2 linked regions of the Cricetulus griseus genome follow. The main gene of each other region encodes a partner of the protein of the gene in region 2 in a complex. Links are inferred from orthologs where the notes say so. Each region holds a gene or a part of one and is shown on either strand. Other genes may lie near its edges.

Region 1 (3,750 bases), on a different chromosome or scaffold from region 2:
GGAAATAACTCTCATGTCATCCCTCTGTGATGTGCTGGCCAAAAGACCTAAAGGATATAAGAATTATATGCAAATAAAGTAAAACTGCACTTGTGAGTGAGGCTCTTCCCCCTACACAAACCACCAAGCATTCTTAAACCCTTTTGTGGAACTAATGTTTGGATTACACAATCCTGCAATGAGCAAGGATAGATGTGACCTATGCTGTTAATTGTTCTGAAGATTTTGGAGGGAGAAGAGATAATGGATCCACTGCAAATTCTAGCAATATTTTGTAAGTATTCCCTTCTGGTTGAGTTGTGAGCTGAGAGGGGTATTATATATAATCTGTGACAATTTCCAAACTTCACCTTTATCAGGCATTCTGAGGATGCTACCTAATAAAAACGAAGTAGTAGAACTGATAGAGGCAAGATGCAAACCAGAGCTTTGTGTGTCTTAATCAAAAACTGCTGAGACTGCAGCATGCCCCCCTTGCCCCAGAAATTCAGGAAGGAACCTTAAGAATTTAAATTTTGGAAAAAAATTTCTACAGCTCTCTTTCAGCACTTCTCTACAATTTGAGCCTCACCCACGCCTTCTCTTATCCTGCCAGACTAACCTCTTCTAAGCCTCACAGCCCGAACATTTCTCTGGAGCAAATAGCAGCCTTGATCTTCAAGACAGGTGAGCTCACTGAGCGCATTATGTCAGCATCACCTCCGAGTATGCTGTAGTCTTCAGGGAATGGGTTGTGGTGAGTCCACCCTTGGGGTTGGCATTATTTTCTTCTTTTTCCTTCCCATTCTTGTTTCATTAGGCATTTTGCTCAACAGGAAACTGGGCTTTTCCTCTGGTCACATGCAAAATCCAAATAATACATGCAGCTACAGTTCCTATCCAAGGCTTGACAAAGTGATACTAAGGCAAAAAGGCATGCCTGCCACTGCCCGCCCAGGCAGAATGGGAACCAAGCCCAGTACAGGAACATAATCTCACAAGCCTACTTTCTGTAAGGGAGGTGGACACAATCCCTTATTTTATTTTATTTTATTTTATTTTTTTTTGTATTTGAGTCTGGAGGAAGGTAGCTAAACCAACATAAACTGATTTATGAAACAAAGAGCACCTATACTTGATCTGAGGGCTGGGTCAGAGACATGAAAGCAAAAATGTCAGGAACACACACACACACTCACGTGCACACACACATGCTGCTGAGTCTCACTAGTCTATTTAGATAATCATACTAATATGCTCAGATACATGCTAGTGCATACATACATTTACATACAGTAAAATACTGTGTGTATTTCAGTATTTTATTAGCATCTAGATGCCCAATTCCCTTAGCACTCATTCAGGTACCTTGTTGTAAGCCACACATTAAGCTGTTTAGCCCAATGTTATTGTCACAAGTCCCTTGTCTGGAGTGGCAATGCCACTTAGTCTGTCACAGGTGACAACCAAGAGTAAAAACAACAACAAAACTCCAGCAAACAAACAAAGCAACCCAGCTCACCAAACACCAAAGCACTTCAGCTCTAAATGTTCTTGCAAACTAAATGCACTTCCCATCTACCAATTCACACCAGCAAATGGCTAAAGCCACTATCTCATCCATTCCTTGTTAAAATTTAACAGATGGATGAACTACAGTATTTTCTCTCTTAAGATTTATGCATCCAGTTTTTATGCTTTTTTTTAAGTAGAGAGAAATGAGCCCTCCCCCAACCCACTGAGATGTTCAGAACTGACTCTTCACTGAGTGATACAATGTAAATGCAAGCAAGAATTTTAAATTAATGGATGTGATACATTCCTTTTGAGCAAAGGGGAAAGCCGGGGGAGAAATGGGAATAATTAGGAAAGGAAGGAGGCTGGGAGAAGCACCAAAGAAGGTTAGGGGGAAAAATCAAACTACAGGTCATTGGAGGAGGTGCCTTTGCAATCTCCAAAGCACATGTGGACACCCATGTCTGGCAGACATGCACGGAAGGAAGCCAAGAGAGCTCCTTTTGCCACCAGCGACATAAATAAGTGTTATTATTGTCACCATGATGCCTGTTATCTGCATATTGCAGGGCAGGGTGCTGTACTTACCCCAGCAGATGAGCATGAGAGAAGCTAGGGGAAGCAATCTGTTGAAGGCAGGCATCTTTTTTCCGTGAGTGGTTTCTGAAGCTAAACAGAGAGAATCTCTGTCAAGGACTTCGCCCTCTGATTCTTTCGAGGAAACCCTTAGGGATCAACTACCCCTAAGGGAGAGACCTTCTGAGTGGGAGGAGGAAGAAAAGGTCATAGGCCCTGCCTGGGGGTGGGGGTGGGGGTCTGCGGGATCTGGAGCCGAGGTTGGGTGTCAGCTCAGGCCACCTCGTGATGTCTCGCTGGAGCGAGTCCCCAGGCTTGGCTCAGCACCACGGACAGTAGCCTCCCCGCCCACCCCGATCTTGGAATTCCAATCTCTCCCCTGCGTCTAGCTTTTGCAACCAAAGCAAAGTAGCCTGAGAAGGGAAGCGCGCAGCCGGCGCGGGGATGCTGGACTGTCGAAGGAGTCATGTTGATTCACCTCTCGCCTCCCCTAGGGACAGCGACACTCCGACTTAGATCCTCCGAGACTCAGGAGCTCCGGCAGGCTTCTCCGGCTGGGTGTGTCCCGACTCCAGCCGTCGTCTGGGCTACAAAATTTGTTTCACCTCAGTCTTGTACACAGGGGCCCGGATTCCCGGGAGGTCCTCGAGGGGCTGGAAAAGAAGCGAGAGCTCCCGTAGGGTTGGTGATCTCAGAGGTGGAGGGTGGTAGAGGGAAGGAACCCCTTCCGTGGAGCGCGCCCCTGGATCCTGTGGAGCCCTGACGCTGGGTGATTGGGTGATCGAGCCGCCCCTCTTCAGAGTCGCCCCTTTGCCGAATGTGTTGCTAGCCTTGACATGCGCAAGCGGCTCTCCACCGCCACGGTCGCTACGGACCCTCCCCCTTGAACACACATTTCCCTCCCCTAAACCGGCGTGCCCCTCCCAGGGCTGGCGCTGAGACGAGGGGGCGGAGCCCGGCTCAGCGCAAACACCTCCCGCGGAGGTGGCTTCTTGTCTGGCTAACTGGGTGTCAGCCGGTCTCCTACTGTCTGGGCTTCTTTCTGGGTTATGGACACACAGTTACCCACCAATTCACCCTTTCCGGGCAACCCTACTGCTGCGGCCTCCCAAATACGCTTGCCTACAGCTCTGGGAAAGGGAGGAACACATCTCTTTGAAGCAATGATGTCATCTATAATGTTCACTGTGCTACGGTGGCTCCTGGCAGGCTTCTCTTCGCCCTCCACCCCATCTCCCACCCAGTCCTGTCTGCCTAGCCTTTGTCTTGCCTTGACTAATGGTTTCCCAACCCAAGCGGCACAGCAAGACAATTTCTGCTTATGGCAAGTGGAGTAGGGTGTGGCACACCTGTTCTCACCTCATCGCTCAGCCTGGAAGCAAATGACGGCTTGAGGGAAGCTTTGGGGTGAGGATAAGGGCCGATTTTTCGCTTCCCTAGTTTGTGTCTTTTTTTTTTCAGCCCCCCCCCCGCCCCGGTAACCAATTGTAAAAGGCCGGTAGATGGTGTTGAGACGTTTTCCAACTCTCAGCCACTCCCTAGTCCTAGCAGCTGCTGAGCATCCCCCGCCCTATTTCTGGAAGAGAAACCTGAACCTTTACACTCAGTTATAAACTCGAGTTGATTTAACGGATTAGGCATGCCTGGAATCAAAGGGAAAGCCTGGCCCCAGCCCTGGTC
Region 2 (3,689 bases):
TGACCACATAAATATAGAGATCAGAATTTTAATGGGCTCAAGAGATATAGCAAAACTGAGAAATATCGACATCAACCCTCATATGAAAACATTCTCTTCAAAGCCAAAGTCTCCATCTTTCAGTGCTTGGGAGGTTAGACTCTTCTTAGCTGAAATGGTATCACTGAGGATATACGGGAGAGAATAAGGTAATGATATCTCATGTGAGTAAAGATGGCATTTTTGTGGAAGCCAGTGGAGGTGGGTAGGGGCTGTAGATAGTCTCAAATTGATCAGAGTTGATATTGGCTCGTGGAAATAAAGGGTCAGACTCCCAGATATATAACAATAATTAAAGAAATAGAACCTGTGAATTTGTGAGAGAGCAACAGAGTGGTGGTTGGGGAAAGGTTATTCTGTGAAAACTGGGGTAAGAAAAAGGGTAAAATGATGTAATTGTATTATAATTTCAAAAATTAAAACATGTTTTTTAAAAGAAAGTCTCTTTTGGATTAATGTTTCTACCATAGACTTTGAGGACAGAATTTTAAATAGTGGCCAGAGTCTTGTGGGTGAATGTCTGAGCTGAGTACTGCTCTGCCATGCAGAGCTTATTCCATCGAGGTATAGACTTGGGAACATCAGCATTATTCTTATCCAAGGAAAGGTTGAGCAAAGCACTGACTACATTTGTAGTCTGATGACACAGGACTTGGCCTCATTTTGGCAAATTCAGTCACAACATATATCTATTATCTTGCCCATATCTTTATCACATGAGAATCAGGAGAGATAGTATCTGGTTGTCAAGTGTTTCTTATTCCAGTTCTCCAGGAGAGACTGGTAAGTGGCAATAATGGACAGGTCCTTACCATGCTATCCAAAGATAGCTAGCCTCTTTTACAGAGCCATATGACCAATTTCAGTTAATTCTATTATTTTGAACACATCCATAGGAAGGCTCATGGTATTCCTTGGTGTTCAGCAAGACTTAATGGATTTCTGTAGCTGAGGGTTTTTGTTCCTAAACTTGATTATACCAGTGTTAATAACTACAGCAAATAAATTTCCAACCATCTATGTGCTTTTCTTGATGGTTTTAACTCAGAAAGCAAAGCTACACAGCAAAACAAAGTTTTAAACTAAAGAAATAAAAAGTGTAGGACATATTTACAGAATTTTCAAGGGTGTTACATTATTAATGGCACACATTTTATAAAAGGTTCGACTCACACTGGTTATAATGCACCTTCAAGTGTACCCTTGATGAGAAACATATTTGACTTTCACTCACTCTCATCATTCTAGAAAGGTCAGTCTAAAGACTCCTTTTGCCCATAGTACTAAACTTCAAATGAGAACCACCCTGGGGAAGTAGAGAAAAACACAGATAAATTCCTTTTGTAATCAACAGTTTCACAAACAACTCCTTTCCTAAAAGAATCCATATTGTCTTTTTAGTCCTTAGCAGGAATTTGTATCATTTACAAATCAGGAGAACAAATTGCAATCAGACTAAATATTAATAATCCATTTTGTTATGCAAAATGAAAATAAAGTTTTATAATTCTAAATCCCCATTTTTATTATTGTGATCTTAGCTCAATTATGTGGTGGCCCAATAACTCAGGTAATTATTATTTGTACTATGAAAGTAAGATGTCAACCATAAAGTGAGTGGAAGAAGCCGAAGGAAAAGGAAGAGGACCAGTAAGTACTCCTCCTGGGCCTTGGGTGTGTTAGTTGCAAAAGTAACAGCTGATTATAGCTCCTTAGGGCTAGCCATGACAGGCAAGGAGCCAGGACTCGCATCATGCCACAGCAGGTCCCTTCTACTGTGCTCTAAGTTCTCCCCAAATGCCCACCAAAATACTGCCACACTTCTATTTCAGATTTTTTCAGCCAATATCTACATGACACATCGACAGGGTCCATAAACTGAGTATTCTCCATGGATTCAGTGTCAGTTCCTGTCTGACAATGCCCTAAGTCTCAGAGGTAACAGGACCAGAATAGCATCATCAATTTTAAAAGTAAAACAGACACTAGAAAGAATATGTTTGGGAGACTAAACAATACAACAAACAAAAATAAAATATGTTGGACCAAATGCTGCCAAACTCCAAGCTGTTCAAAATAAAGACATCATTTCCAATACCATTCTTCTGCTGCTTTAATACTGATGTTGTCATATCAAAAGTTCTACTCTTGAGTGTATAAAATTAGACAAAATCAGAGACTGAATTCCTTAACAGTATAGTCCAACTCACACAACCTCCTGCTCCATCCATTATAACCATCAGCATTTAGGGGGTTCTAGAAATTTTACAGAACATAGCATCTCTTGGCTTCTCCTTACCTGGTTGGGTAAGATAACTAACCACACATGCGGAGCAAACATCCACCTTGCAGCCATTAGTTCAGGTCTAGATCTTAATGTTCTTTCTGGTTCTCAAACATTTCCCAAAGATTGATCAGAGGGTGGGGCAGGTGGAGTGGGAAGCAAACGCTGGGCACAGCCATGAGCTATCCCCATCATGGGATTGTCACTACAAGGAAAAATATGCACTTACTTGCTGCCAAATGATATTCTTCACTGAAACCCCACCAAGAGCCCCAGAAGCAAGGCTTCTAGGAGCCCTTTGCTCTCCTGGGCTTATCTCTCTTCTCAGCTCTCTTCTCAGGAGGTTGCTTGCTGTGCTTGCTGTTCCCAGCTGCTGCCAGCTAGACACTCAGCCACCTGGGAGGTTCCACAGTCACAGACCCAGAGACCACCTACAGACAGATGCCCAGCAAGCCTGGTAGCTGTTTTTGTTTCCTTTGCCTTCCTCCCTCCCTTCTCGTGGCCACTCCCCCACTCTCATCTCCAGGCTAGCCTGTGACTCCTGAAGCCAGATAAGCGTGGGCGGGTGATATTGACAGACACCCAGCTGCAGAGGCAATAACAGCTTCAGCAGTGGTTTTTCATCCTCCTGCTGCCTGGGAACGAGCCAGTCAGACAAGTGGGACTGGGATTTAATAAAGAGAAAGAAATAGAAAAGAAGCTGGGAAGGAGTGAAGAGTCCACAGCTGGGAGAAAAGCAAAAGCAGTGTGTGGCTGACTTGTGTTTGTGTGCCACTGGAGTGTGTGGAAAAGGAGAGGAGAGTAAGAGAGGATGGGGACAGCAAACTCAGGGTCCTGATTTTCAGGAAGATTTCCCTACCCTGCTCTGATTGCCTAATAGAATATATGGGGTAAATGTCAGCCTATGGCACACTGGCAGCCCCCAGCATTGCTGTGGCCACAGTTCTGGGCAGGTGTGCGGCTGCTTAAGAAAGACTTGACTAGAAGACTGTAAATGCATTGTGGGTTTGTGTCCCACCCTGGCGAGTGGAGTTTGAGGTCCAGTGGGAACTTTTGTCTGTGTTTTTAAAAACTGGCATGCCCTACATCTTGGTTTGAGGGCTGTAGGGAAGATGTACTATACATTTTAACCAAGATGGAGATGGGAAGATTTTGACATAACCAACATAGGCCATTCATTGTTTAACCCTCTTTTGTCCAGATTTATCAGAGCATTTTATTCAAAACTTCATCAACATACCTTTATGAATAAAACCATTTTAAATAATTTAACCCAGGACCATTGTCATACCGGATAATAAAAGTAAGTTTTGCAATGCTGAACATCCATTTGACCTTACTTCTTAAAGCAGGCATATGGATGTGT

The links. The genes of interacting proteins can lie anywhere in the genome.
Region 1: the proteins of Scn7a (region 2) and Scn3b are in contact, whole or in part, in a cryo-EM structure (PDB 7TJ9), measured with the Homo sapiens proteins. The link is inferred for Cricetulus griseus from reciprocal best matches to the Homo sapiens genes SCN7A and SCN3B. Residues at the interface, in NP_002967.2 of Homo sapiens: Arg269, Glu293, Tyr296, Leu298, Glu299, Leu305, Gln315, Cys316, Pro317, Glu318, Gly319, Tyr320, Asn922, Ile923, Thr926, Cys927, Lys929, Ile930, Phe939, Ile956, Tyr957, Asp959, Gln960, Ile966, Tyr970, Met973, Ile974, Tyr977, Ile978, Leu981; in NP_001035241.1 of Homo sapiens: Val25, Cys26, Val27, Glu28, Val29, Arg44, Ile46, Lys50, Arg51, Glu52, Glu53, Val54, Asn95, Gly96, Ser97, Asp99, Gln101, Asp102, Phe126, Phe128, Ala130, His131, Pro133, Val135, Thr154, Ser155, Ser158, Glu159, Met162, Leu165.

The regions. Positions count from the first base shown.
Region 1 is NC_048597.1:151,887,322-151,891,071, reverse strand, and holds the start of Scn3b (sodium channel subunit beta-3), read right to left. Parts: upstream 2,138-3,750; coding exon 2,083-2,137; intron 1-2,082. UniProt on the Homo sapiens protein: Regulatory subunit of multiple voltage-gated sodium (Nav) channels directly mediating the depolarization of excitable membranes.
Region 2 is NC_048599.1:108,334,151-108,337,839, reverse strand, and holds the start of Scn7a (sodium channel protein type 7 subunit alpha), read right to left. Parts: upstream 2,804-3,689; 5' UTR 2,553-2,803; intron 1-2,552. UniProt on the Homo sapiens protein: Sodium leak channel functioning as an osmosensor regulating sodium ion levels in various tissues and organs. While most sodium channels are voltage-gated, SCN7A is not and lets sodium flow through membrane along its concentration gradient.